5 linked regions of the Nothobranchius furzeri genome follow. The protein of the gene in region 1 interacts with the protein of each later gene in a biochemical or structural test. Links are inferred from orthologs where the notes say so. Each region holds a gene or a part of one and is shown on either strand. Other genes may lie near its edges.

Region 1 (6,279 bases):
TGTGGATGAAAAATGACCATTCCTGGATGTTACACGGGAGCAAGCAATTTTTTTCTTTTCTTTTTTTTTCGTGTCCTGTCTGGCTGTGAAGTAAACAGAATCAATGTATGAATGCTGGTGACAAGCCTTAGAGATTTACTCTCAGGTGGAGCACCAAAGCTTCTGCTTTTAATGTCACGCCTGATACTTAAAACTTTATTATTGTTTTTTGAATGCTTTGTAATTCCGACCAGACACGGAGACAAAAAGGAAGAGACAAAAGGTGGGGAGGAGGGGTTCCACAAAAATAAACAATTAATGATGAACAAGAGTCTGCTTCTAGATCTGCAGAAAAGGGAAACACAGCAATACAACAGGAGCAAGCTATCACTGCGTCAACCTGATGAGGAAATATAAAATCAACATTGTTTTACTGAACAATCACACGATAATAAATCACAGTGCATTTAGTGTTAACCACAGCCTTAAGACATTTGTTGAATGTGCCTAAGTCCATACTTATGAGCGCACCATGTGAGCACCTGTGTGTACACGAGCTTGTATATGAGGTTTCTCGATAGGAGTGTCCAATAGAGAGTGTGAGGGGCCACAGATCTACCCCGCAAAGATGTGTAAGAGATGGAGGAAGCTCAAAGTCCCAGAGAGCCAGGAGCTGCCCCAGAGCACAGGGACCCCAGGGAGACTGCGACCAGAAAAGCCCCTGCCCCCTTTGAGAGGCACAATGGATTGCCCCAGGGGGCCACAACCAGCAGCCGGCAGAGTCCCAGCGGATATCAGTGGCAAGCCCACAGGCCCACCCGCAGCCTCCTACCCACCAGCCGGCCGAGCCCGGGACCCAGCGACCCGGGACCCAGCTTCTGATAAAAGTTAGAGATAAAGGAAGAAATTTCATTTTCATCTTTTGAGAGATTGTTATTAATATATAAAGTAGATGTTTTTTGCCTTTCCACGTTTTTTTTCCAGATTAAAAAGAAGGATGAGTTTTTTTCTCCGTGTTCCAACCATCTAGCCCGAGACCTTTTAAAAGCTCCCCTTGCCTTTTTCTGGAAATAAAGGTCTAATTTTCCCCTTAATGAGTGCAAACGCACACATGTATACTTAAAATTTCATTAAACTCTTTTAAACAATCAGTATAAGCTTTATTCTGCTCTCTTATTTGTTGCTTTCCAAAGCGCATTGAGAAGCGCTGACATTCAAATTTGAAAAGCTCCCATTTTATGGTAGGTGTAATTTCAGACATTGAATTGAATTTAGTAGCAATTTTTTCAATGCCCAAGCAGTAATCATTTTATTGTAGCAAGGAATAGTTTAATTTCCAATATCCAGGTTTGCTACAATTAGTGGATCTTAAATTTGATAAAAATATATCTATCCCAGCATGATCAGTTAAGGGAGCAATAGCAATATTACAGCTTCGAACCCAGGGAGCTAAATTATCAGAGATTAGCCACAAATCTATACGCGATTTTTGAGATAAGTCTGTTTTAAACCAAGTAAAGAGGTTATTTTCCAAAAGGTGTAAAATTCTCAGGGCATCTAGTAAGGAAAGTTTACCACAGAAATCATAAATAACAGGGTTAAAATTATCTGGACTACCTTTTGCAGGAAATCTATCTGAAAATAAATTTGGAGCTTCGTTAAAATCACCGCCAACAACCACAAATGCTGAAGGAAATTTGTTCAATTCCATGAGGATTTTTATCAGATAAAGAGTTGAGGAGCGTGGTGTTAGAAACCCTAGATTTAAAGCCATAAACATTTACTAAAATAAAAAAATTATCTCCACATCTAATGACCAACAGAATCCATCTGCCGTCTTCTGAAACCTCGGTGTCTATAACTTCACCATTAAATTTAGGATGAAATAAAATTAAAACACCCCCTGAAAAATTAGTACCATGAGAAAAAAATAGCCTCCCCCCACCCATTGATTATGCCAAAATGTAACATCTTTTGAAGAGGGATGAGTCTCCTGTAAAAAAATAGACATCCTTATTTTGCTGCATACAAAATAAAAAATAAAGCTTTTCTTTTGGTTAAATCTCGAACACCCCGTACATGTAGAGAAAAACACGACAAACGGAAATCAGACATCTAGACCACAGAAGAACAAAACTACTTGAACAGTAGTTGTATTAAGTTATGTGAAAAGTTGAGAAATGTGCAAAACTTGAACTCACAAGCCAAAACCTAACACTGAGTTATCAAAATTGGAACAGACCCATGTAAACTATAAAGCAGGATCATACTACAAATTCAAAAACCCATAGCAGGTATCTAACTATTTTTAAATAGTATATGTTTCTCCCTCTCTCCTTTTTTAAAATTTTTTATCCCTCAAAACCTGCTCAAAACTCAAGAGTTGGAACCAACCAATCAGTATAAACAGGTGCCAAACAAAACACAGCCGTTATTTCTTTCATTTTGTCTACTTAGAAGAAGATAAGGCCAGAGGAATAGAACATCCGAAGCTTATTGCTTGGTTGACAAACATCAACATTAAACACGGTTCATCCAAGATGATAATGACATCAACTACCATGCTAGTGTTTAGAATTTTACACGTATTTGTAATATCCTACTACCCGTAAACGCATCTAAACGTTTAAACGTGTAGTTGCTACGTAGGCGCCTTGTCTCCCGCTCAACCCACAACGAAATGTCTTTATTTCTGATTGGTGTGTTTGAATAGTATCAGCGTATCTTATTGGTGCATTTTGAACTGCCACTGCACTGCGGTCTATTCAAAAGAGTTAGTCAACTGCAGTCAGCTCGTGAGCAACCCGAATCAGAAACGACACAAAGTAAGGTTGGATATTTTTCTTACCAAACAGCATTTATCCATCTTCAGATTGAACAAACGTGTTCTGGCTAGGAAGTGTGACGGCGGTTAAAAAGTAGTGCTGCTTCACCTTTTACCTTTTAGTGGTAGGTAGGCTGACGTTGGTGGATAAAGCAGAGGAAGCCGTTTTAAAAGCTAGTCTAGTTAGCCGTAAACCACCGAAGTCAGTCTCTTGATTTAATTGTTACACACAAGGATGAGGAGTCCAGCTACCTTTAGCTCCGATAGTGTCAGGAAAATATTTACCAGGAAGTATAATAGGTCGGCTGGAGCTGAAATAACAATAAAACACGTCTTCTCTTTTTTCCTTTAGGCAAAGATGGACGATTATGTCAAAATAGAGAAAATTGGAGAAGGTGGGTCTACTTCAAAAACGTTCCAGATTTTTTTTGCATCGTTGTGATTAAAAAAAAAGTTCTCACAAAGTATGAGTTTAAATCAGTTCCTGGACATATTGTACTTTGTGTGATATGTATCTTTGCGTTTCTGATTTGTGAAACATGAATGGCCCGGTATGATGTGTGCACAGGAGGGTTGTGTCCACATGTATGATTATTTCTTCTGCTGAACGGTTGCGTGCAGGCACCTATGGGGTCGTGTATAAGGGCAGGCACAAGGCCACAGGGCAGATTGTGGCTATGAAGAAGATCCGTCTCGAGAGTGAGGAGGAGGGTGTTCCCAGCACTGCTGTCAGAGAGGTGTCTCTACTACAGGAACTCAAACATCCCAATGTTGTACGGTAAGGAAAAGCTCCTTCATCTAAAACTTTAGTTTTTTCAAGGTTTTGCTCTCACTTTTTGTTGGAGTCTTTAGTTTTCTCGCTGTAATCCAGCTGGGGCTCTGGCAGATGTTTTCCACTCCCCTCCTTAAAAGTACCAGTGTAGTTTTCAGCTTGTCCCAGGAATGCTGAATCTAATTCCTCCTTTTTTTTCCATTTTCCATAATTTTACCATCTTACATCACACCTGTAACGTCACAACTGGTTTGAAAATCTCACAGAACTTCACTAAAACACTAGTTTAGTGTTTTTCTACAGACCTACAACAGCTGACGCTGTGTACACGTGACTTTTTGTGATACTGCTGAAACCTCAGGCTGTTTGTATGAAACAACCAATCATCTGATATTTGGTGGAAGGGCTGTAAAATTTCAATTCAGTTTATTAATATCACCAAATCACATCAAGGGTCGTCTCAGAGCACTTCACAGAGTAAACGTTCAAGTTCAGTTTATTATGTCAAGCAAGTCAATTTTATTTATGTAGCACTCATCACAAAGTGATTCACATAAAATGGGCCAACTAATAAAAAAAGTTTTCTATCTAAGGCCGGGGTCTCTAACCTTTTGGAGCTACTTTTACACAATGAAAGTACCGAAGAGCTACCGCCATACAATTATTCACATTGATACTTTCCATGTGTGAATATGCTTATTTTAAAAATGCTATACTTACTATATTAACATGCATTGTATTCACAAGCTGTTTTCTCTGTATTTAAATACATCCATATTGTAACAAAAGTCAAAGGAAAATTGTGACATTCCTGTTTTAAAACAAAAAAAAAACATTTTTTTATTAATCAGATATTTTCAGATAATTAACAACAAATGTACTTCGTGTGAATGATTTGACCTTTCATTGCTTTTTGAATGGATCAGTAACCTTTCTGAGCACACGGGAACACCTAAACTGCTCCTGTTGACTCCCGGGCCCTGTGTCCTGCCAGGAGCCTTGGCAGTAATGTCAGTTTTTCATAGTGTAAGCAGTTTTGTCATAAATGATCATACTTCCTAAAAACTAAAATCTTTTCAAATAATTATGCTGTGAATATTTTCCCAAATTAGGCAACACCAAAAAAAAATCCCCTAAAATGAATAATGCTGAAGATATTTTAAATAAAATACAAGCTAAATGTGATGTAAACACAGAATTCTAAATAGTTTGAACTGAAGTAAAAATGTACAAACAGAAGTAATATTTCTTCCTGCTTTCTTTGATTCATTGAATCATTTTTATAGGTTATTTTGCTAATGAAAGTTAAGTTTTGATCCACTAGTGAATAACTGCAGGTAAAATGGTGCTGTGCTGCCTTTTTTACGTTAAAATAAGGTTGGAGGTTTATCCTGTTTCTGAGCCTCTGGATCATCTAATCCGTGGGTCTGATGGCTGTGTAGGCCTTCAATACTCCGTTCATTACTCAGTGAGGCAATAGCTAAAACATTTGAGGGAAATTTGTTGATAATAAGTCACAGGAGATGTCCAGATGGTTTGGAAGCCTTTGTTCATCCAATGTTCAAAAACGGCATTTAATTTGCTTTTACTTTAGAACAGACTTCACTGTTGCCCAGAATATTTTACTGAGGATGTTTTCTACTCCTTAATAGTGTTAATTTTGACCAGAAGTTTTAATTTAAATTTTGTCTTTTGACTAAAATTGACAACATTTTTGACCAAATTTTACAAGATGAATGAGGAGTCAGATGCAAGCAGGAGTGTCATGGCTGACTGACACTCCTGTTGCTGGTCTCAGCTCAGTTTGCTGCGCCATGTTGTGTTAAGCCTGGTTTATGCTTCTCCGTCAGCTCCGCAAGGGACAGACACGCACGGATTGACGGAAGCGTTTTGCTCTCATACTTCTCCGTCTCCTGGAGAGTGTTGCAAAGCAATTGCCCGGCAGGACCACAGAAGGTGCAGCGCTGTTCTGTGGTATCCTGTCATGTATCCAGTCCAAGATAGTGTGTTTATATTGTGTTTTTTGTGTATATAAGAGACTTTTAACACGGACATATTTGTCTCTCATTCTCCCACCACTTCATGCACTCACCACCTCTAAACCCACGTTTCCTGTCATTTCCGTCCACAAATAAAACGCTTGCTGCGCATCGTTTCACTCCTCCAGTCACGGGAGGATTAAACGTTCATATTTTTAGAGTTTTTTCGTGAGGTATTCTTCAAGCTTCTCCGTGTCTGCCGCTAGTTATCCTCGGCTCTCTTTGCAATGGTGGTGCTGTAAACAACAGCGGCGTCCTGACCAATCACAAGCTTGCGTAATCCGTCTCGTTCGACGGATGTTTAAAAAAGTGGGCTCGACTCCGTACGTACTTGCGTGCCTGCCGGAGCCCTACGCAAGGACGGATAATGGCGTTGCGTGTCTCCGCACTGACGCAGACGGAGAAGCATAAATCAGGCTTTAGGCTCAGTGCTTTGATGCGAGGCTTATTGTGTTCTAAAAATGAAACAACTAAATGGACTGTATTTGATATAGCACCTTCTAGAGTCCTGGAACCCCCCAAGGCACTTTACAACACAATCAGTCATTCACACACACATTCATACGCTGGTGGGAATGAGCTACGATGTAGCCACAGCTGCCCTGGGGCGCACTGACAGAGGCGAGGCTGCCGAACACTGACTCCACCGGTCCCTCCGACCACCA
Region 2 (6,127 bases), on another chromosome or scaffold:
AGAAATGGAGATTAGCACTAATAGGCTGATAAGCTAACAAATAGTCACAACAGAACCAGGAACGATGTGGATTGGTGCTGTAAAAATCACAACAAACTCTTTAAAGAGCAAGTCACCCCAAACCATCTTTTTTTTCCTGATAAACTACATAAATGCATGTCTAATCGTGCTGCAGACACGTGTAGTCAATAGTTTAGCACGTTAGTGCATTTTAGTTAAACTTTTTATTTTCTAAAACTGTCAGTGTTGTGCCGTTGTCAGGTAAAAACTCTGCACTGCATTTGAATTTAAGTCTGCCATAGCTATTGGCTAAGAGGTACCCTAGGACATTAGCTGGTACCATATGATGTCACAATGTCATTGTGAGCCTGTGTGTGTGTGTATTTGTTTGCGTCTTCGCCCTCTAGGTCTGCTAGGCAACAGCATTTGTTGCATTTTCCAAACAGGAAGTGGGAGCGGAGTAATACTCTGGTGGGGGTGACTTGCTCTTTAATGTCAGAAATCTAACTATTTATGTTAACATTAAACCCATATCTGCATTCCAGTATTTTTTCATAACATTTGATAGATTGGAATAAAAAATTCCTTTTTTCGTTTATTGTTCCTCAGTGATGACATATTTGGTGTACAAGCAGCAAAGCAGATTGGCAATATCAAGTAAGATTCACACCAAACTCAAAAATAAAGAATAAAGGTACCGAACATAGTTGAGCTATTAACAGCTAGTTAGTAAGAGATCTGTTACACTTCTGGTCAGGCTTTCATATTCATGCCAGAATTACGAGAAACTGACTGATTGTCAAGGTCCGACCCCTAGATATATCAATAACATTTAAAACAGTTTCAACTCAATGTTAATAAAACATCTGCATAATAATTATTATTTTATTATGTATTTACAATAGACAAGTAAAATAGGTTCTCGCCATGGCAGGTTTATGATGAAGGTACTAATCCTGATACTCTATCTAGATACTTTAAAGCCCGAAGGAGTTTGATACCTGTCTGCAAAATTAGTCTACAAGGGGTTAAACATGCATTCACATAAATTGCTTAATTTATTACTGTGCATTCTGAACATGAAATATGTTGGCTTGACTTACTGAAGTGCAAATGGAGGAGCTCAAATGCAATAAAGTCTTCAACAGCTGTGCTTAATAGCAAAATAAATAAATAACAATTTTGAGTACCTGTCCACTGTAGTGACCATTATGCATCAAAGGGTTAAACTAGCCATAACAAAACAAAGTATAGGTTCATAAATCTGGTCAGAGCTCTCTTTCCCCAAACTGGGGCCATCCAAAGAGCTTTTATTTCACAAATTCACGTCAAGCTGCATTAAGGTCAGATGGAGTATTAGTATTAGTACCTTAATCAACCTCATTCATTCCTATACACGTGTACTGCCATGAGGATATAGATATAGGGTCAATTTCATTCATTCATTATTGTTATATTATTATTATATAATAGAATAAAATTCATAACGTAGTCCTCATGTTTACATTATCAAATACATTGTGTAGTTTTAAATACAATTTTATTATTTTGACTTTCAGTGATTAAAGGGCTAGAAGTGGTAAAATATAACGTTTTCACAAACTAATTCACAATTAAAAACAGAACCTTTAATGAGCTACATTGTGTCCCCATGAACAGCAGCACAGTCCTTTTCAATGCCATTTCACTAAATTCTATGTGAACACGTGGACCGGTTTCACTGGTAGGGTTCATTCAACAATATCGGTCTGGTGTCATAAAAAGCACTAAATCCTGAAAGAAACGGCTGCATTACATGAGCTATTCATCAACACAACAATAATCCACCTTCAACACAAAGAAAACGATATAAAACAGCAATTATATAATAAATTAGGTCCAATCCGAAGGCACTTGGGTGTGCGCGTGCGTGCACGTGTGTTTATGTGTGTGTGAAATCCCGATTACAGGTCCAGTAGGACGTCCCTCTGTCGGCGGCTGAGGGGAGGGAGTGGTCTAGTCCTCCCCACGGCTTCGCTTCTTAAACGGGGCACAAGCAGGCATCACTCCGAACCGGACCGGACCACGAAGACCCACCTGCTCCAGTCTCCACACTTTATCTAACTATAAACATCCGCAGCAGAAACCACCAGTCTGGAGTCGGGAACAGAAAATGAGTTCATTGTTTACTTAGTTAATTATCTTCTTTTCCCCTCATCACTTCAGTTTGCACCATCGAAACATTTTCATCTTTTCAAAAACTCCCTCACCCTTTCATCTAGGACTAACCCCCCTCCCTTTTCTCTCTTGTGCCTCTCTCTCTCTCACTAACACACACACACACACGCACACACACACACACACACACACACACACACACACACACACACACACACACACACACACACACACACACACACACACACACACATCCTCCCTCTTTAGCCTCCCGTGAAAGCACACTCACCCATTCACTCTCTCCCCTCTCCATCCTCTGCCCACCCTCTTGTAAACAAACAAAAACATGTGGAAATTAACCACAGTGCGACTCGTTTTTAAAATTAAAGTTATTGTTGATCACCTTCAACATAACTACAGGAGCGCATCAGGCTGTAAAAGCCAGGCTTCAGTTTAAAATCATTTTAATTAAAGCGCATCATCCTGCAAAAGTCTGCATTATAGGGGTTCTCCCCCCTTAAAAGCCACCGGATCCCCTAAAACCGATGCTCATCAGTGGGTTTTACATAAAAAAGGTGAATATCTGCATATCATTCCATAAATATAGTGAAAAAAATAAAGTAAGCATGCCACAAAAGCACTACTTCAGCAGCTGTGACTTTCATAGGAATCAAAATGGCGTTGCAGGGAGGGACAGCAGCGCTCCTGTTAAATCAAGAAACAAAACTGTAGAAATATCATAAAGTTTCTTTATTAAAGGGAGGTTTTCTATGCTTTGCGGCGGCACTCTTGACCTTATAACACGGCGGGGACCTAAATGTCACAGATCTAATTGAATGCGCTCTGATGCGCCAGCTCCCTAACAAAGACAGCCATCACTGCGCTCATTTGCACTGAAGGACTTTGGTTTCGGCCGCAGTATCTCCCCCCTTCTTACCCCCGCGCAGCTGGACTCACACCTGGCCACTTCCGGACGCAACCCTGTCCTAAAATGATGTGATCAATTAAACGAATGCCCCCAGAACGAGCCCTGATGTGTTGGAGGTGCTGGCAACTTTCCTGACAATGGAGCTCCAGAGGCGCCTGCTATAGTCGCACTTATAAGCATTTCTGCTCCAAAATCATCAAATAAAGAAAAGCCACGGTGCGGATCACCGCCCAGATGAAGCCCCGATGGAGTCCCACCTGTCACCTGCACATTACACGCTGTGACATTTCATTTATAGGAGGTTTAACAGTAAATAATCTCGAACACGTCATTCAAAGTCAATGGCCGGACTGTGTTAGTTGGGAAAATGTATGGAAGTATTAAAAGCATAAACGAGAGGCTGCGCCGTCCGAACCACGTGCACCAGCTCCAGCATAGATTAGATTTTCTTATGCATTGCGCGATTTCCGCCCAGGTTCCGTCTGTTTGGGTCAATTTAGCGCGAATTGTGCAAAATTGTTCACGGCACGCACTACTTCCAGTGGGTTTTCCTGGAATAAAAGTTGTTCGCCGGCGCGGGCGGAGGAGGACAAGTGGATGTCCGTGGAGCCGAATGTGCCTGCTATCAGCCCGTCCCGCTCGGAGGGACACAGCTCCTCCGCGGGGTTCACATTTGACGCGAGTTGGAGGATGAAGAAACACAAACGGGACGGCGCCAGTTCCATGGAGTCCGCTAGATCAGCTGCTGGCAGTTGGTGTTCTCAATCACGTCCGCAGATAGGCTTCATAGGCTCACTGGAGCGCCTGTGGAATAAAGACACTTTGGTTCACCGACATACTGATACCTCTCTTTGCTTTTGGGAGACTCAATTATCATTTTCAATCCTTCAAAGACGATAAAAAACGAACTTAAACCTACAACTTTTTATTTTACTGTTAAAACGCTCACATTTTTTTTTGTATCTTCCTGACGATCAAGCCAACCCAGGCGGGTGAAACCAACACATCCAGGACTTTTATTTTTAAAAACTTGCTGGGAAAAAAGTCACCATGGCAGAGACGTCGGGAGCTCCAGCCAAAGCCAAAAAGGCGTCGAAGCCTAAGAAGCCCGCTTCTCACCCCAAGTATTCGGACATGATTAAAGCGGCTATTGTGCACGACGCCAGCCGGAGCGGAGCGTCCCGCCAGTCCATCCAGAAGTACGTGAGGAAGACCTACAAAGTGGGCGACAACGCCGACGTGCAGATTAAAATGGCCCTGAAGAGGCTGGTGGCGTCCGGGATGTTGCGCCACACCAAGGGAATCGGCGCGTCCGGATCCTTCCGGTTGACCAAACCGGAGGACTCCAAGAAGCCAGCCAAGGCTGCGGCGTCCGCCAAGCCCAAAAAAGTGGCCAAACCCAAACCAAAGAAGGCGGCCAAGCCCAAGAAGGTGCCCAAGACCCCGGAGAAGCCCAAGAAGGCAGCTGCCAAGAAAGTGAAAAAGGTCGCGAAGAAGGCGACACCTGCGAAAGCCAAGAAGGCTCCAGCGAAGAAGTCCAAGGCGGCCAAACCCAAAGCCAAGCCGGCGAAGAAAGCAGCCAAGCCCAAGGCGAAGACACCCAAGAAGGCAGCCAAGTCTGCCAAAAAGAAGTGAAAGTGGGACAATTTAAATCGGACTGTAAATACTTGAGGAAATGTTTTGGTATATGTATTATTTTTGTAAGGTTTCATGCAAATGTCAGCTGTTTGTACCAGTAGTTTCTCTAAAAGCATTTTTTATTTGGTTTTAATAGCATTATTTTGTCTAATAACTGAACACAAATAGGCATCGCTGCATTAGAGCGTGTATATAAAGTTAAACTAGGAGTAGTGATTGTTAGAGCACGTGTTCATATTGGAAATATGAGTTTTGTGGAGCCTTCATTACCATGTACAGACCATAGGCTCTAGAGTCCTCATTAAACATGCATTGTCTATATTTAAATATAAATATTTTATTTTATGACATCTCCAAACATTCTGATGTGTTCAGACACTTTAATGCTATTCAATAAACCTTTATCATCTAAAAAGGTCAACTTGCTTGTTTTTCTCAGTTTATTAAAGAGGTGGTTTAACTGCGTATCTAATACAAATAAGCGCATTAAATCACCCATACCAATATAAATACCTTAAATCATTTTTTATAACAAGTAAACTAATTTTCAAGAAGCTGTAACAGTTATAGATTGAGAGCTCTCCAAAGAACTGGTGTGGATTAATGTTTTATTGTGTTAAAGCAGAAAATTTAATGCAGAAATAGATAAAACAGAAGTTTTGCTCATTAATTTCCTCAGTAGGGTGACGATTGATCTTTATTCAGAGTTAATGGGTTTTAAGGAGAAAAATGGAACAAAAGGAGCTGAAATCAAAACAACTAATTCGGATTAAAAGGAAACATCAATTTAGGAGAAAGTGGTCTTTAAAACGGTACTAAATCTATTTCTAAGAGATCATATTGCAGCAGTGATTTTCTTCTAGATTCCTAACCTGTTGTCATGGGAGGGGGGGGGGGGGGGGGCACGCCCATGCCCTCACGTTCTGCCTCTCACCTGGCATCACAACACTGCCATCTTGTGGTGGTTTATATGAATAGACGGCTTCTCTCCCACAGATGAGGACAAGGAGGATTAAACACAAATTGTAGTTACATAGACAGATGTAGGATGGGCTAGCTCATAGATATTATATAGTAGTACATTTACTATAGTTTATATTTACTATATTATATTTATGTTGCTATGAGACTGCCCCTTGTGGAATAATTAGAGAAATGCAACCAGATTGGTTGAGTAAGATTTTCAAACGTCCACATGAGTATGGGAAATGTCCTGTAAACCTACAGCTGTTGGCCCCACTTCTTTAAAACCCGCCGTACTCTCTGAAACAACTTAAAAACAATCCCAGAAGAATCAGTTCAAAATGACTGAAAATCAACCAATGAAAGGCATTACTCTTCCTCACCCTGTAGGTGTTTCTCCTAATACCTTTACCTAGGTTATTCTGTTCCCTCCCAGACTGT
Region 3 (6,022 bases), on another chromosome or scaffold:
CAATTAGATTATGACCTTAACATTAAACATAAATATGCTATTGCATTGCAGGAAGGCAATAATCAAGGCGAGAGGAGAGTAAAGCGTGGAGTAGAATTTCCATTTCTGATCTGGAGACAAAATTTTGCAGTTTAGCAATGTTCAGTAACCAAGCAAAGCAAGTGTGAGCCAAAGACTGAACACAGCCATCCAGGGTGACACCAGTAGCAAAACTAACTCCAAGATTCCCAATGGTTGGCCTAACATAAGACGCTAATGGACCTAGCACCTTTGCTAATTGCACATTTGTGCTTGTCAGGTTTAAATTGTGCTGAAGAGGTGGCAAAGAGAATTAAAAACAACAGTTTCCCCGGGACTGAGCCCTGTGGAATGCCATAATTCAGTATCCATGGGAGATCAAACATGGGATGTAGCCGCATTAACCAAGCAGAGGTATGAAGAACACTACTGTAGTGCGGTTCCTGACACTTCCACGTAGCACCTGTGTCTCATAGAATGTGGTGATCAACAGTATCAAATGCTGAGGAAAAATCAAGCAAGAACATTATTAATGTTTTGCTGGAGACAGACATGCCAAAAAAAATGTTTTTACGTGTCATATTTTGGCAATCTTGAAATTATTCAAAAAGTACTTGACAGACTCAGAGATGGTTTGACTCAAACTAGGGAACTTGTGCCATAATTGCGACAGGTTTTCACAGAAATGTTTATAATATGTTAAATAAAGATGATTAAAAGTCAGATTCAAGGGGAAATTTAAGAGCTGTGAAAACCCACTTATATGGAAAACATTAATCTAGATACCTCTGGATCAAAAGAGGAAATAGTGAGCATATTTCACTAGTGAGATAGAGACAGGCTTAAATTAATTGCAGCGATGTGCAAAATTTATGAGTCATCAAGTGTTTTCTAAAGGTTTTGGACAGATTTGCATGAGCACAGCCAAACGCAAACGTGATTAATTTCTGAAATCCCGAGAGGCAAATGTGTTTTCCTCCAGACTCGATGGAGGAACTCAGTTTGGAACTGCTTTTGTCTTGAACTACAGGTGAGTGTGATTTTTTTTTTCTAGGCCAACACAGCAGAGGAACAAAGTCAGCATTTATTTCATTTCCTGCATGATCACTGGTCATGCTTTGATTTTTAGTTCCAAGAGCTTAAACGTGAAAGATAATGTCAAAAGTATTTTGTTGATACCTTTAACTGGAGAGCAGATGCTTCACGTTTGCACTGCTCAGCAATACGTCCGTCGTGTGCTGCAGTCCACATGTGAAAACCACAATCAGAAGTAGATTTATGGCACATAAATCCTGGATGATCCTGAACTTTAAGTGTTCACATTTTATGACCATAAAAGGAGAGTTTATGTTTTTAACCAATAATCTGTGTTTTACCAACAGTAGATGTTGGCACAGCCGTAGAAATCGGTTGTCCCACAGCAAATTCTCTGTTTTCTAATCAGTAACGGACCCACTCTATTTTATAAAGTGCTCCAAAACATGTGGCAGTGGTGCTCACCAGCATGATCTGATTTAACTTCTAGGTGAAACAGGAACTGGGAGAATAATAGAATGTCCCACTCTTCCCTTCCATGTCCATTTGTCATCAGACCACATTCCTGTTTCTCTTCTAGCGAGGAGATTGAGCTGCACAGCTCTGTGCGATGTGGGAAAAATAGGAATTAAGTTTGGGATCATGAGAGTCAAGGTCGAGGTCTCGACTTTTCTTCTTTCGACAAAAGCTTGAAGTTGGTGAAACAAATTTTAACATGCTTCATGTTCCACTCACGTTTCTCAAGTCTTAGTAAAAGTGAGCTTTAAATCATTATTTGTTTGAAGGTAAAAGCTGCATAAATAGTTTTTAATACATAAATTAATGTATATATCGTGAAACAATGCACCATAGAAAACAACTAAACTGAATCGTAGAAACCGCCACAAAAAGATTGAAAAAACCTAGAGGTGTTTATAGATTTAACATAAAAAAAAGTAAAAAACACGTCTGATTTCAGATGAAGAACTTAGCTCATATATCTGAGACAAATCGGTAGATAAATAATTATGTAGTGATAAAAATGCATGTTGTAAACAAACTTTGAGAAGGTACACTTGTTCAGAACCCTATTTCATTGACATGAGCACCCTCTAGCGGTGCACAGCGGCATTACAATAACTGCATTAGAGAGTGGTTTTGTCATTTTAAAAGCGCACTTTTTAGAGAGCAGCAGTTTGTCCCTCTTCAGCTTCCGTGTCTGCCTTAGTACTAGTTTGAATGTTCAGCGCGGTTTCTTTGTTGAAGGAGATTATTTTTAGATCAGACAGCAACAAAAACTCGGGTAAGGTTACGTTTATCAAATTAAAGTTGATTCTCATTGGACTGACATGAAATCCTGTAAGGTGCTAAAAGATTAACGCGGTATTAACAGCGTTTACAGTTGGTTTTAGCCTTTTTTAACGTTAGGTTTGGCTTCCCCTCTGTCGTTTGCCTGGGTGGTTTCTGTTCAACAATATTACATAAGACTGAGTATAAAGCGTATTTCCCGTTGTTAAACATGCTTGTACTTTTCATTTACCTTGATTTAAAATGGTCCAAATCCTGCTACATTACAAAACAGAAACATTTCCTCAATAACACCTTTGCTAACGGGCCTTGTGCCAGCCTCCACTCAAAAGTTGTCATTTTATTTCCGTTCTTAATGGTAAACGGGCAATTAGACATTATAGATCGGCATTGTTCTATCAAATATATTAAACTTTCAATCGGCGCTATTTAAAAGCCCTCAAACTCGTTTTGCTATTATTGTACAGTTTAACATCTGATCAAAATAACGTATTTGCTAACTGTTATTTTTTCCGTAAGGTCCAATATTGTTCTTGAACGGAATGGCCTCCCATCCAGTCAACGAGGGCGCGTATAAAACCCCTAAAAGGGTCGGGTCAAAGGGCTCCAACAGCAGCAGCTGTGGTGACAGCACCCCTGTCACCATCCCCGCATCACCTTTCATGAAGAAGCTGGGCTGCGGGACTGGAGTCGACGTTTACCTCATGAACAGGTTTGATGTCAGGGGCTCACACAGCACCTCTTCCTGACATCAGGGTCTCTTCTAAACTTCAAACCACTGTTTCTCCATTCAGATGGATGATTAAGTGATTATTATATCTGAAAGTGAATCATTTCAGCTCCAGTAACAAATGTATGTTTTTATCTCTAGAGTGGGAAAGCTGAATGCATCGCCTTGGGCTGTGAAGAAGATCAACAGTAGATGTGCATCCAAACAGGCGGACGTTTATCAGAAACGTCTCAATGAGGAGGCGGAGGTCCTAAAGGGAATCGATCACCCAAACATTGTTGGTAAGCCAGCCTTAACATGCATGAGTGGTTTTTCTAATTCCCACAAGATGCTCACATCATCCTGGACACCAAAGATGTGTCATCATTGAATTTTCTCAACAATAAACAACCACTGTGCAGATTTAGCTCATTTAAAGAGCAAGTCACCCCCTACCAGATTCTTACTCAACTCCCACTTCCTGTTTGACAAATGCAACAAATGCTGTTGCCTAGCAGACCGAGAGGGCGGAGCCGCTATCAAATACACACACAGGCTCACAATGATATTGTGACATCATATGGTACCAGCTAACGTTCTAGGGTACCTCTTAGCCAATAGTGATGGCGGATTTAAATTCAAAAGTAGTGCAGAGTTTTTACCTGACTACGGCACAACACTGACAGTTTTAGGCAGAAAACTGACTACACGTGTCTGCAGCACTATTAGACACACATTTATATAGTTTATCAGGGGGGAAAAGTTGATTTGGGGGTGACTTGCTCTTTAAACATACCGTTGAAGTCTGGAGGCTGTATGAGATTGACCGTTTTCACAACTCTGTTTCACTCGCATTGTTAATTCTGTCTTTTTGAGGTTTTCGTGCCTTCACTACAGCCAAAGACGGCTCCAAATGCCTGGCGATGGAGTACGGAGGAGAGCAGTCCCTCAATGACCTGATCGAGAAGAGGAAGGAGGAAGGTCTGACCGCTTTCCCTGCCGCTGTTATAGAGAAGGTGGCTCTGCATGTGGCTCGTGGCCTGATGGTAATTAACTTTATTGTCAAAGCTTGGTGGAATGAAACATTATTCATTATCTTTCCTGTTTTAAAACAAAACTTTAAACATATTTGCTTTGCAGTATCTCCACAATGAGAAGAAGCTGCTGCATGGCGACATGAAGTCGTGCAATGTGGTCATCAGAGGAGACTTTGAGACGGTGAAGATCTGTGATGTTGGCGTTTCTCTGAAGTTAGATGAGAACATGATAGGTAAACGTTCACATTCAGCTCTTTACTGGCAACACAATATGTATTATTTCTACATGTTTCTGCTATGTTATGAATTGAATTACAGTATGGCTCCATCGCAGTAAATAGAGTGCTCTCTCTCTCTTCAGTGGCTGACCCAGAAGCAGAGTACATCGGCACAGAGCCATGGAATCCCAGAGAAGCAATATTAGGAGGAGAGATCACCGATAAGGCGGACATCTTTGCTTTCGGTCTGACTCTGTGGGAGATGATGACTCTGGCGATGCCTCATGTGGATTTGCTGGAGAATGATGAAGAGGAGGAAGAATATGAAGGTGAGAAGTTCTGTAGGAACATTTCAAGGTAGAATTTAGTAGCTGCTTCCTTTGACTGGAACATTACAGAAGAAAAGTGTTGTGTGGTGAAAGCTAACAAGTTTAACCATTGGGTTTATTTCAGAAGACTCAATGGAGGAGACATTTGATGATGAAGCCTACTATGAGCGTTTAGGAACACGACCGCCTCTGGACACGGAGGTTCTGGGCAGCCCGTACCGCAGGGTGGTGGAGCTCTTCTGCGTCTGCACATCAGAATGTCCTAAGATGAGACCATCGGCAGCTCAGATCGTCCAGGCTCTAGAGGACAACGCTCCTCTGGGCACGGCTGCGGAGGCGGCGATCGTTATCGACTGATTCACTCAACAAGCACATGTTTACATTTCAGTCTAAATCAGAAGTTCTCAGTTCATATTCCCCACATTTGTTTGTTCTGTAGATTGTTTTTGTCTGTCAGCTTTTCCTGTATTTGTATTCGTTTGTGTTTCTGTCAAACAGTAAATGTTACAATTCTAACAAGTTCGTCCCAATTTTTCCAACATTTCCAATGAATCAGGAGACAATCTGCAGTAATGAGTCAAAACCAACTGGTTTATTAAAATGTACAAAGCACAAATGCCCAACAACAAAGATGGCATCCATGCATCAACAGGTTTGTGCTTACCGGTTTCGACAAGATCCGGCTAAGATTGGTGTTTTTCTAACTGAAGTTTTGCTTTAACATGAGAAGTTTCCAGTGACTGTAGGTTGAACCTCTTCATGTAGGAGAAACATTCTACTAACCCACACAGTGGAACTGGCAGCACTGAACAATAACACTGAATCTCAGTCTCAAAAACTCGAGCTATTTAACAGACTTTAATTACATAAGTTTCATTTACACACAGAACTCAAGCTCAGCCTAATCTCACAACTTTGCTTTAAAAACTCTTGACAGTCTTGATGTGATGCAGAAAACTGAACAGCTTCATAACAGAACATTCCGAGTCGTTTGGCTCGTTTCCAAACTTTAGGAGACAAAGTTGTACACCAGGAAGGTCGGCGTGTTGCAATACTTGGTTGCAAACAGCTTCCCATCCGGAGTCGGATCAGAGAAGGCGATTTCCTCCTTGGTCAGGTAACTTCCATATATGAACGTTCTCCTAGACAGAATTAAAAAGATTTAATACTTGGAGTCATTTTGGACTCATCCTGTTGCAGGAGTCAGGAAAAATGTATCGTCAATGAAACTTTAGCTCCAGAACTACTAATTAAATCATTTTATCCAAGTGACCGTATTTCTAAACCAGGCTGAAGTCGACCTTACCTGGCGGTGTCCAGCATGCGGGTCGCGATGCTCTGCCGTCGGGATTGACTGAAGACCCAGACCCGACTGATCCCACACACAGC
Region 4 (5,983 bases), on another chromosome or scaffold:
TTACTGAGCCAGGATCCTCTGGAGGTTTCTTCCTGTTAAAAAGGAGTTTTCCTCTCCACTGTCACTGCATGATTGCTTAGTATGAGGATTGCTGTAAAGACTCTGACACGATGCAACCTGCTGGGTTCCTTATAAAGGAAACTTTTTACTGATTGGCTTAATGAACTGACCTGTATTGGAATGTTTACTATGTGAAGTGCCTTGAGACGACTCTTGTCGGGCTTTGGCGCTTTGTAAATAAAATCAAATTTAATTGAAAACTTTAATTAGTGTTGTGCGCTCTAACCTCTGAACTGTCTAAACTTCATTGCATTTTACTGACAAATTTAATCAATCAAACTTCGTACTGGTCTTACAGCTTGCATATCAAATACGAAGTTTTAAGTTGGAAAATTTCTAGTACATTGATACTCTATAGTTTTTATTATTTTTGCTCTATATTAGATGCATTTGTTGAATTTTTTATGTTTACATTTTATTCACATCATTTTCTTTATTCTTCCTAACAAACTAAATCTAATTTTAAGAGTGTTGATGTGCTAATACATTGAATAAATAAGGAAAAAAAGAAAACTCTAACAAATTAAGAAAACAATTTACAGATTAGACAATTAAACAAACAAATAAACCAACTTTCTGAGACTAAATTGTTGACAAGTTGTGCACCCTTCCTTGTTCTTTTGTCTCAAGTTAAACTTGAATAAAATGTCAACAGAGAAGCTGAGACCAGAGGTGTAATTTAAGCAGGGGTACACTAAAGACAAACCCATCCAAATCAAGCTTTTTTTGTTGATGTTTTGTTTTATTGTAATGTCAAAATAGTTTGAAATAAAGATAGTGACAGAAAAGAAGTGAGGCTAAGAGAAAAAATGGAGAAAATCATTTGAGTAGCTAAATTAAATTAGCAGGTTTAAAGAGCCTGAGGGCAAAGTGGAGCTCCGTCCCCTGTGGCTACGCTTTAGAGAAGGGAGGCATGAATTAAGCTTGACTGGCTCTTTCCCTCCTCCCCTTCCTCGCACTTTATACTCCACGGTCTTTCTGGTTTTTACTAATATGAGGGGTGAGGTAAAAGGACACAAAACGAGTGGGTGAGGAGATGAGAGGGAGGGTATAAAAGCAGGTTGTGAAGGTGAGGACCAGCTGAAACGAATCTGTTCGCTTTTGCAGCTTTGTTACTAATCAATTTTTTTCCTGGAATTTTAGAAGATAAAACGTTTTTTTTTTTAATAATTGTTCAGTTAATGCCTTTGCTGTTTATTTTTGTTTGCTAGTTGTTGTTCGTGGTGTTGGGAGGTCACGGCTGTGTCTGCACCCAGGATTCCACTATGAACCCTGGGGTTTTCACCAGTACTGGCCCCCTGTCCTGGGCCGTGTACCTGATGAGGAAAGGGCAGACGGGCACCGGACTCTTCGGTAAAGCTTGCTTTTTTTTTTTTTTGCACCTTCTAGTCTTTACCATCACACATCACGTTTTTAACTAAATCAAATACTCAATGAAAAGCATGTCATATTCCACTTGTTGGTATTTTGTCTGATCTCGAGTTTCACATCACAGATATCTGGTAGTTTAAAGGTCTGCCCAGATGCGGGTTTATCCAGTAGTTGGGTGTATAAGCAAAAGTAAGAGCATTGCTGGTGTTTTGTTGTCCTTGGTAGAGTTTTATGGGTCATAGTGTTTTCTCAGGGCTGTCATGGGTGATCGCTTATCATGATGGATTCAGTTAGCATGGGTATTGCATAAGCCTGTTACTGGTTCCTAAAAACCAGTGGTTCCAATGGTCCATGTATTAAATGCATCATGTATTGTGTGCGATTACCTCTACGATGGTTGTCCTATCATTAAATTAAACTTACAATCTCTTGACGCATTTTGTTTCAGACTATCCTGGGGGCAGGATCATCCATCCATCCATCTGTCTGTCCATTTATCCATCCATCCATCCATCCATCATCTACATCTTACAGATTTGGGGTATCAAACTAGTTGTGTGTCAGGCTGGATCCGAAACCTTTAGAGGTGCCACATGCTCTGTTATTTCCACTCAAAGCAGCTGTTTTAGTAAACATTTGAACATTTTCAATATGATGCTCCATGTGTGCTCACACCCTACAACCAGTGTCAGAAACTGTCTCTGGGCATGCGTATTGAGACCTAGCTGTAGCGGTAGGCCTCCAAGCATCTTGTTTTTGTGCTAAGTGCTTTTTCTAGGGTTTTTCTGCCAAAGCAGATCCAACAAAACACCAGGGAATACGTTTGTCCTGAACCAGTGCAAACATTCCCTTTGATATGAAACGTTTTATTTGTTAAAGAGCAGTCTGTAAATACTTGTGAAAGGGACATATCATGCAGAAGTCCCATTTGGCTTCCATGTAGGTCTCTGCTGACTCTATGGCTGTTTTTACAGGACCAGAGCGTTTGTAAAACGGGATTTGCCGCGGCTCCCTGAGGAGGATACAGGTCGTTTATAAGATCAGACCATGGCGGTAATGTGGCGCAATCGTGGCAATTTTATAAAAGATTAGATGATGGCAGCATAAAGGGTGTATGGAGCGGTCCGCACACTTCCGTTTATCTTGGACATAACTTGCTTTTTATTGCGATTGAAGCCGTGATCGTTACTTTTTTTTAACAAGCAGCTCCCAAAGGTGTCTGTCCCCATCAGTCCCTGTGCAGTCTCTGGTGATCTGAGCTTCAGCTCTAACAGAGAGGCTCATGGAGCGCTGCGGCGCTCCAGTTTGCCATCTCAGCTGATTTTGTTCAAAAAGCAAACCTTATTGCCTGGGTTTACTTTCATTTTCAATAAATTTGCCAGCCGGAACTCAGCAGTAACTCCCCACGTCATCATGACACCTGCCTCTGTTGCGCCAGGGCGCATACGACAGACCATTACCGCAGTATTACTACCAAGCGAGGCGGAATGAATGCCGCAAAATTCGCGCAACGCCATGCCGGCATGTCTGTCTTATGAAAAAGGCTTATAAAATATAATAAATTTACACCACCACCACCACCCCTTACCTCACTGGTCCACACTTAGGGAGGCTTCCATTCTGGGCAAGGTGGAACAGCGGCTCTTCTTGAAGCCCCTCCCGTATATCAGAGCTCCTCACTTCATAGCAGCCATTCATGGATGGGTGGGCGTGGCCAGCAATCACTTATTTGCATTAATGTGACAGAGCTCTGACATGATTAATTATGGGAGTTACTGTAATTGTCATGAATAAAGCTATTTTATTTGAGATCAAGGACTAAAATATTGGCCAAGGATGCTTTCCGCAATTTTTGAATGATTAAGAGACGTAAATGCCAAACCAGCTTGGATGTCTTCCATGTTACCAAGTTAGAACCCCACCCCTTATCAAGCGATGAAAATGCTGTTGAACTTCTGCTAGGACCGTTCCTACCTGCACCATCACAGAGAACATTACGCTAAGTTGGTACCTAAAGATCCAATAGATATTTAGCTGTATGATAAAGCTCACAAGCCATAGCGCTCAATACCCATAAAGCAAGAGGAATCTTAAGGAATTTAAGGTCAACAACGTGTAGAAATTTTGACTTTGGAACTAAAATAAAAGAGTTTTGAAAAAAAGATCTTGAAGAAAAATGTCACACTTTGTGTCCAAGGTTGTAGCGGAAGTGGTTGACGTCTGAAAATCCTACCAGTGGCAAAACAAAGACAACAGAGAGTCTATTCATGACAGCATCAGAGCAAGCCCTTAGCTGAAGAGCAACAGCAGATAGGACCATGGAGACAATTCAGAGATGACCCTGAGACAGTCCAGCAGATAATAGCAGGATGTAAGATGTAGGCAATGGGACACCATAACCGAGTGGCTAGAACAGTGTAAAGGAAAATCTGAGTCTAATCTGGGTTAAAGGTTCTATAGTCAGAGTGGGATTCTCCACCATGAGTGGATCCAGTCTGACAAACAGGCAATGGCTAACCAAGTGGAAATCATGGTGGTCTACAATCTGCAGAATAAGTGGCGGTGAAAGATTCGGAGAACCCAAGTGACTAGAACATCGGGGTAAAAGACATGAGAAGATGCAGAAACACCAAAGGATGAGAGAAGAACTAGAGGTTGTGGAGCGTTAGGACCTGAGTAGGACCAGAGGTCATTAGAGCACTTAGAGTTGTGACCACCCAAACTAGCACCTGTGGAACTCTCAAGTTTTACCCGACACAAATGCATTACGTGATCTGTAAGCGGCGCCGTCACTCCACCCACACACATCACACACTGTGGGTGGGGCACCAGGTGCCCACCCTCACTCGAACACCTTTAGTGACAAAGCGGATTGCCACCCTTGTCCCACAGTCGTTGATGGGATGAGCCACAAAATTAAATTAAGGGCACCATGTGACCAGTCTGTGGGCCAGTGGCGGTGATGCTGAACATTCAGCTCAGTCGGATGGGTTTTGACAGACTCTGAACCCAGAAACAGCAGCAGGCAGAACCAATCACTCAGCTCCCTAGCCAATCAGTGACTGTTGGGAAATGCAATCCAACTGAACCAAACCCATCCGAGTAAAGCTGAGTGTTGCTGCTGGAAAGGTGCATTTAGAAGGTCCCTCAAGCTCTCAGGCCTGCGGTGAAGGACTCTTGTGGAAGAAGTTCATCTATTGATGTAAATCCTGATTGATATCTGGAGGATCATTGGAGAGGAGGAGGATGAAAGCTCAGGTTACAGGTCAGTCTGTGGGAAATGCTGGATGAGTGAAACCTAACTCTTCTCCTTGTTCCTTTCTCATCACAAGTCTGTTTCTTTACCTACATGATTATGTAGCTCGCAGCGTCTGTTCTGTTTAGATCTGTGAGGAAGTCAGAAAGGATGAGATGAACAACAGAGGAATATATCAGAATAACATTCTGTCACTTTTTCTTTTCTTTACTGGTTAGAAAATAATCACAGATTTTCTGCAGATAACCAAGAAAAGTGTAGATTCTGGTGACGAGGAACCGAACGATTTCCAAAAGGATATGTCCAACTCAAGTCACGATGAGAGATGAGGTGTTTACATTTTAAACCCCCCCCCCCCCCCCCCCCCCCACACACACACACACACACACACTTGGCTATGAGGAGCTAGAAGCAGAGGCAAAGTGGCCTTTAACTAAATGTCCTCTGACAGCATTTGGATGTGACATAAATTACTGTTAAAATTCATTTTTAAAAATAGCTTTTTCTGATTCCATCCAGATGTTTTACTAGCTCTGTGATTCACACTGTTCTAGTCTGTTTTCAAACCAGTATGAGTCACTCTTGTTTTTATTTTTCTGCATTTTGGTTCAACACTTTCATGAAGTTTAAATGCGTAACAGAAATTTTGTGACTGTATATTTTGCTTCCTCTTGGACTCCCTTGAAAATGATTTTTAATCTCAAAAAGACCTTCCTGTTAAATGAAGAATAAATAAATACAATAAAATAAATAAGCAGGTTCTAAACAGTGTGATGGGGAGATTTGTAAATAACAAGATATAGGGAGGCTAAGTCTCCTCCCTTTCCGGGTGGCTCATGGGTCCCCGGAAGAACGAAAAAATGAATGTGAGTCAACGGGGCTAAAAACGCTGTGGCTACACTGTAGCTCATCGGTGTAAAGCGCTTTGGAGTCCTCTTAATCTGAAAGGCGCTATGGAAGTGCGGGCCATTTCTCATCATTTAACTGATTAGCACGGAGTTGAAGTGTAATAAACACCTGGAGCATCCTAAATCTTTTATGATTTAAATAAATTATTTAAATTGTTTGTTAACTGATGTTAGAATAATGTAATTTAAAAACTATAGAAACAACTTATTTAGCTCTTTGACTTTCAGAAGTTCCTTGAATTAGATCCCTTACTGCCCTCTACTGTTTATATGATGTAATGTGTGTGTGTGTGTGTGTGTGTGTGTGTGTGTGTGTGTGTGTGTGTGTGTGTGTGTGTGTGTGTGTGTGTGTGTGTGTGTGTGTGTGTGTGTGTGTGTGTGTGTGCGT
Region 5 (5,979 bases), on another chromosome or scaffold:
CACCTATGTGTGAAAAAGACAAAAATAAATAAATACCAAACATGATTTGATTGTTGGTGAGGTGTGTGACGATGCTCCGTCACCTTTTCTAAACATTTCTTCAGACTGTGGATTCAACCAATCTCGCCACATTTCTGTTACTCTGTCATAGATGGAGTTTGCTGATGGAGGTAGCTGACTCTTGGGGTGGTAGTCATGGTTACCCAGAGCAGAGTACACTTTAGTAGCTGAAGAAGGAGAAATGCAAAGCACATTCTTAAAAAATACGTTGTGGATAAAGGGTTAAAAAACAACAATGACCAACACCTTCTCATATATTTCTTCACACTTACTTGGAAAAACCTCCTTTATGATATGAGTAAGGTTGCTGATAATGCTGACCACTGCCTCCTCTCCTAGATCCTCATTTGGTACATGCGGTGTGTCGTCACTGTGATGTTAAATAGAATCATGTTTAGGGATTGAATACTAAAAAGGGAGATTAGTTCAGTTGACCCGTATTTGAAGAGGGTAGAACATGCAGCACTTTTCATGTTTTGTAAAATAAAGTTATGAATGGAGACATTACAGATGGACTGCGTACCCTGTCCATACGATGAAGTCCGGCTCTGGTAGAATATGCTTCATGGCGTAAACAGAAGAGTTGATCAGGTGCCAGGGTGAGTCACACACATAGTCTCCAAATATACCAGCACCAGGCGCTGGTCGTTTTCCGCTGGACGCACACACTGACTCTGGGTTCTCCGTTAGTTTAAACGTTGGATCCCAATGCAAATCGGTGATATGCCAAAAGCTCCCTGGATGAAACCAATGTGTAAATATGCACAGTAAATTGTCCCTACACATGGGGGGAAATGCAAGAGATAGGCTCTTTAATGCATAACAGAATTTAATTGCTTCTTACCTGACAGCGCAAGACCCTCCTTGAAAAGCAGAGAAGAAATGAGGATCCATACTGCAGACATGTTGGACTCTGGGACAGCAAAATACATTCAAAGAAAGCCAAGGAGAGGTCTGAGGGGTAAATCATAAAAGGCAACGCAAGATAAGATAGCTGCAGCTGTCGGTGAAGGTTCGCAGTCGTCCAGTCATAGCTGCAGGCAGCTGGTAATGACAAGCCACGCCACACAGCCACAGCCGATGCAAGCTGATTGATTACCGGTATTTTGGTTTCCAAAAATAAAGAGCAACATTTAAAAGCCTGCAGGAAATAAGTAATTTGTGCAAATTTTTTTGGGTAAGATTGAAATGTATATGCAATGATATCTAGGCTGTGAGTGTGCATGTAAAAAAAAAATCAAAGAAAAAGTCAACAGCTGCACAGTTTTTCCACTTAAAGGTGCATTATGTAGAAATGAAGTAAAAACAACATCCTGTGGGAGAATTAGTTTACTGCAACCTCTTTAAACAACTGGACCTTTTTGCCGGCTATCGTCAAATTACAACTGTCGGCGCTGCAGTATTAGCTCGCAGGAGACACGGCAACCCCACACTCACTGATGGTAAACAGTAGTTACACCCCTCCTTCCTTATTTGTTTTGAAAGAAGAAAAAACTGACAATCCCCGTAGCTGAGATGTTCTCATTGTAAAATTTTCACTATATTCTTACATACTGCACCTTTAAACCAAAATCAAAAGAGTAGCTCACATTTGATTGATATAAAATGAATAAACTTAAAGTTTCTACAATACTGGCTGCCACAAAAATAAAATTAACATCAGGCCGTGTGGACTAATGACAATGCAAAGTGTATTTATGCACAGGCGACGCTGTAAAAGGGTTTATACTAGTAATGGCACCTCAGGGGCAAATTCCTCCATAGATTATTTTTATGTCTTCTAAATATAAACCAGTTAGTTTCCTGTCGGGAAACTGAAGCCAAATGAACCCACATGTGGTCATAAACAACTCTTAGAGCTTTTATGAATTCCAACATACTTTTAAGTGTTTCATTACAAGAAAAATACAAGTAAAGTTGAGACTGGTGCTGCTTTCTTTTCATACACGGGATCTATTACTGCAACACCTTTTGATTTGCCAGTCAATTGCATTGCTTTGAAATAATTAACAATCAATATCAATAATATTATTATATACATGCAAGACTGTTTATTTAGAACCTGCCCTGTTAACGTTGAAACAGTTTATTTGATTCAATTATTATTTCTTAAAATATAGACGTAAAAATTTTAGGGTCAGTTCATAACTTAAAATTACTTAGTTTGTGCTTTCATTTATTGTAGAAGCACAATAATATTTGTATTTGTCAAAATAAAAAAAAATTGTAAGAAAGATTTTCCGTGTGCATTTTGTCTTTTACGACAGTCATTGAATGCAACTAATGTGCTATGCAACCTGCCTAAAATATTCCCCGTATTTTGACGTCAGGTGGAAAAGCATAAAAAAACAAAAATGTCTTCTTTTAGTTACACACATTATGCTATTTTACGGAAATACATTTTTACAAGGATTATATTAGTTATTATTTTTATAGAAATGAGTCGACAAAACGTTGAAAAAAATTCCTGTGAAACAAAGCTCAGGGCTAAATGTACCTTAGTTGTTACGAGTTCGCGGGACTTATACTGTGCGCATGCGTTGTACATTGAGTTTAGCGCGCGAGTTTACTTAAGGAGAGATACTGCGTAGCTACATTGGGATACTAGGCCGTTTCGGAAGTTTTAAAACATTTGCACACCTTTTTAATACGTTATTTACGCGGTGGCACCATGTGGAATCAGGGTGAGTTGAATGCAGACTCGGTTATTTGTGTTTAAAAATCAGTAAAGGCACGTAGATGTCTGTTTGAGGCTAACGTTAGCAAGACTTTGGCAGTCAACGTTCGCTTACCTCATGAGGTTAACGCTAATGCTATTACACCGAGTTGTGTATGTTACCCAAGTACGTTTTACTTCGAATAATCGCTCCTGTTTACTGTAGTCTAATTGTTTTTTGATCTTTCAGGAGGCTACAGCGAGTCTGGAGTGGACGGGGGATACACTCAGTCTCCTGGAGGATTTGTTGCATCCCAGGGAGGAGAGAAGAAAGGGGTCAGTTGTAGTCTTGTTATAGCCAGATTTTAATCCAAGACAAACCTGACTCACGCCCAAATTGATTAAAAAATAAGTGCTAGGTTACACTTTTTCTCCTACATTCATTTTACAATCCAATGGATCAATATCACATACTCAGATATTTGTAGATTATGCAAGATTAAATGTTGATAGACTAAAAATTGTATGATTTTTTTTCACCAGAGAACGCGTGCCACACAAATCATCCCCTGCACAGTGTCTCAGCTGATGTCCGCCTCACAAGCAGACGAGGCCTTCAAAGTGGGAGATGTGGAGGTTACCCAGGTAAGCTGAACCAAGGCAAAGTGTACATGTGACAGCATTCAGTTAGAAAGAAGTAGAAAGTCCCTACATAATGGTACTGTAATAATAATGAAATAGTGATGGCATAATTTTGTCAGGTTACACTAAAATAAATGTTAAAATGATGAATAGTAGTAATTTGCTTTATCTTTGTGTTATAGGTCACCATTGTGGGCATCATCAGGAGTACAGACAAGTCTATGACCAATATCCAGTACAAGGTTGATGATATGACTTGTGCACCGATGGATGTGAAGCAGTGGGTGGACACTGAGGTGGGTGATTAAACTGTTTAGTGATTTTTTTTTACTAGTTAAGATTGGGTCCATTTCCTAAAGTCCAAGTCCACAAGGTTGACCGATATTGTTTTTCTATTACCGATATGTAGGAGACACTGTAAGCAAATGGTTGATATCTAGATGTTTTCCACCTTACTTTCCTGCTAAAATGTCACAACATCAGTTAATGCACAAATTTTCTGAAGCTGAATCAGTTTGTGAACTCTAAATTTAACTTACTGTTGAATCTTTACTTTGTGCACTCTCATTTTAAAGTCAGACACCTAAATAAAGTTAGTTTAGAATATTTATTATGCAGATGTTATTAGTGAATGTAAAAATACATTCAAAGTAATTTTCTCCAACAGCACCGGGCTGTTCAAATCAGCTTTACTAAGGACAAATATCGGTCAATACCGAAGTATAAACGCTGGTAAATATCGGCCGAACGATTTATCGGTCTACCCCTTCCCCAAAGTTAGGACCAGATTTTTTTGTGAAAACAGAAATTTAATTAAAAATAATTATGTTTTCTCTAACGAGATAGAAGGAGGATTGCTGTACTGATGCTAGTCAGTGACTCGATGCAACCTGCTGTGTTCCTTATATAGGAGCATTTTCACTGATTGGCTTAATGAACTGACCTGTATCGTAATGTTTACTTTGTGAAGTGCCTTGAGACGACTCGTTATTTGGCATTGTATAAATGAACTTAACAAAATTGAATTAATGTTCTTTTTTGTCATATTAAAGAGCAAGTTCACTGAGAAACCATTTTTCCTAATTACGTTTTAAAGGATCGGTCACTCAGAGTTTAACATGCGGGCTTAACGTGAAAACAGTCTCCTACCCCTATTTCCTGCATTTACGTTTGATAGAAAAAATGAAGAAAAACAAAGTTTGGTTCACAAAAGCCTAACAGATCTATGTCACACTGTCACTTAACATTCATGGACTCGCCTATCTCATGACGGGGAAGGCTGTTGTTAGTTAAGCATCCAGGAGAGGACAGAGCGTGTCTCGTTAGCATTAGCAACTCGACAAGATGGCAGAACTCCTTCAGGTTTGTGCTATATGTGGAGATAAAACGCAGAGCAGAGTCAGTGGTAGAGCTGTGTTGCTGTTAGCCAATCAGAGGATAGATGTCCAAATATTAGGAAATAAGACTCCAAATCCTACCTACGTAATAAAACAGGAGCATCTGAGCTTTTTTCCTCAGAGAATGACTTACAAGGCATGGATTCCTACTACAGACCACTGCAAATGTATTAAATATGAGTAAATTTGACTTTTAATATAAAAAGTTTACACAAAGGTGTGATTTTTGAATTATGTTCACCTGTGTGTGCAGGACCCGAGCGTCGACAGCGGCGTGCTGCCTCCAGGAACATATGTCAAAATCTCGGGAAATCTGCGATCTTTTCAGGTGAGTTTAGTTTTACAAACGTCTGTTTTTCCCCTGAAGTAAACAAAAACTGTTTTTAAAACATCAACATTTCTGCTGCTCCAGGCAAGAATAAGATTAGACAAACAAAACTCATTGTTTATGATGATTGTGAAAATGTGAAAATGTTTTCATGACTACAATAAGTACACAGCCATTAATCCCATGGCTGTGTACTTATTGTAGTTCCTCTGTGGAATCATCCTTGAAGAAACTGAAGCTGTTTGTTTCCCGTGTCAGAACCACAGGTCTGTCGTGGCGTTCCGCATCCGGCCCCTAGAGGACATGAATGAAATCACCTCACACATGCTGGAGGTCGTCCAGGCACACATGGCACTGGGAAAATCTCCGAGCACGGTTAGAAGCACCGAACACACATTTCTCAGAAGTCTCCTTATGTGCTAGAAGTCGTCTTAGAAAGAGGAAGTTGAAGAGTTCAGACGCAAACTGTTTTTCTTAAATGTCATCATTTAAGGTGAAATTTAACAGAGCATCACTATTTTTATTTTCCATAACCCGTCTCTAAGTTTCACAGAAAATTGCAAAAAAAAAAAATTTTTTTTAATGCAACATATTCTATAATTAAGATGTTTGCAGTTTCACATCACTGCTGTTTGGTCAAGTTGAAAAGTTCAAATTTGCTCATTTATATTCTTCCTTCTAAAACTGTTTCATAGTTTTGTTTCTACAAGAAATGGCAACTTTTCATCTTTATGCAGACATGGAAGCAGATTTTCTCCATACAGTAACTCCTCCTCATGTAGATTACCAGAACACGAGGAGATGGCGAGGTTTTTCTTTTTGTCACAAGTAGTTCAGAGATCTGCAGATTCAGATCACATGACCAGTTGGAGACTGGAAGGAACCCTAATTTAAAA

What was found.
Region 2: of the proteins of cdk1 (region 1) and h1-0, one has a biochemical effect on the other in vitro, tested with the Homo sapiens proteins (3 studies listed by BioGRID). The link is inferred for Nothobranchius furzeri from reciprocal best matches to the Homo sapiens genes CDK1 and H1-0.
Region 3: the proteins of cdk1 (region 1) and pbk form a complex in vitro, tested with the Homo sapiens proteins (2 studies listed by BioGRID and IntAct, with this or other methods). The link is inferred for Nothobranchius furzeri from reciprocal best matches to the Homo sapiens genes CDK1 and PBK.
Region 4: of the proteins of cdk1 (region 1) and runx1, one has a biochemical effect on the other in vitro, tested with the Homo sapiens proteins (2 studies listed by BioGRID). The link is inferred for Nothobranchius furzeri from reciprocal best matches to the Homo sapiens genes CDK1 and RUNX1.
Region 5: of the proteins of cdk1 (region 1) and rpa2, one has a biochemical effect on the other in vitro, tested with the Homo sapiens proteins (2 studies listed by BioGRID). The link is inferred for Nothobranchius furzeri from reciprocal best matches to the Homo sapiens genes CDK1 and RPA2.

Annotation. Positions count from the first base shown.
Region 1 is NC_091752.1:60,126,887-60,133,165, forward strand, and holds the start of cdk1 (cyclin-dependent kinase 1), read left to right. Parts: upstream 1-2,708; 5' UTR 2,709-2,804; exon of another isoform or gene 2,805-2,809; intron 2,810-2,864; exon of another isoform or gene 2,865-2,928; intron 2,929-3,155; 5' UTR 3,156-3,161; coding exon 3,162-3,198; intron 3,199-3,424; coding exon 3,425-3,581; intron 3,582-6,279. UniProt on the Homo sapiens protein: Plays a key role in the control of the eukaryotic cell cycle by modulating the centrosome cycle as well as mitotic onset; promotes G2-M transition via association with multiple interphase cyclins.
Region 2 is NC_091756.1:32,653,145-32,659,271, reverse strand, and holds h1-0 (histone H1.0), read left to right. Parts: upstream 1-2,707; 5' UTR 2,708-4,135; coding exon 4,136-4,720; 3' UTR 4,721-5,144; downstream 5,145-6,127. UniProt on the Homo sapiens protein: Histones H1 are necessary for the condensation of nucleosome chains into higher-order structures. The histones H1.0 are found in cells that are in terminal stages of differentiation or that have low rates of cell division.
Region 3 is NC_091742.1:11,216,967-11,222,988, forward strand, and holds pbk (lymphokine-activated killer T-cell-originated protein kinase homolog), read left to right. Parts: upstream 1-2,206; 5' UTR 2,207-2,271; coding exon 2,272-2,335; intron 2,336-2,859; coding exon 2,860-3,052; intron 3,053-3,211; coding exon 3,212-3,351; intron 3,352-3,925; coding exon 3,926-4,095; intron 4,096-4,189; coding exon 4,190-4,319; intron 4,320-4,447; coding exon 4,448-4,633; intron 4,634-4,757; coding exon 4,758-4,990; 3' UTR 4,991-5,152; downstream 5,153-6,022. Other genes in the region: N-acetyltransferase ESCO2, read right to left, coding at 5,643-5,775, 5,940-6,022. UniProt on the Homo sapiens protein: Phosphorylates MAP kinase p38. Seems to be active only in mitosis. May also play a role in the activation of lymphoid cells.
Region 4 is NC_091743.1:80,942,819-80,948,801, reverse strand, and holds the start of runx1 (runt-related transcription factor 1), read left to right. Parts: upstream 1-1,149; 5' UTR 1,150-1,325; coding exon 1,326-1,413; intron 1,414-5,983.
Region 5 is NC_091745.1:71,982,465-71,988,443, forward strand, and holds the start of rpa2 (replication protein A 32 kDa subunit), read left to right. Parts: upstream 1-2,603; 5' UTR 2,604-2,731; coding exon 2,732-2,744; intron 2,745-2,966; coding exon 2,967-3,052; intron 3,053-3,259; coding exon 3,260-3,361; intron 3,362-3,540; coding exon 3,541-3,654; intron 3,655-5,008; coding exon 5,009-5,083; intron 5,084-5,341; coding exon 5,342-5,458; intron 5,459-5,979. Other genes in the region: smpdl3b (acid sphingomyelinase-like phosphodiesterase 3b), read right to left, coding at 1-3, 84-227, 333-430, 584-797, 905-992. UniProt on the Homo sapiens protein: As part of the heterotrimeric replication protein A complex (RPA/RP-A), binds and stabilizes single-stranded DNA intermediates that form during DNA replication or upon DNA stress.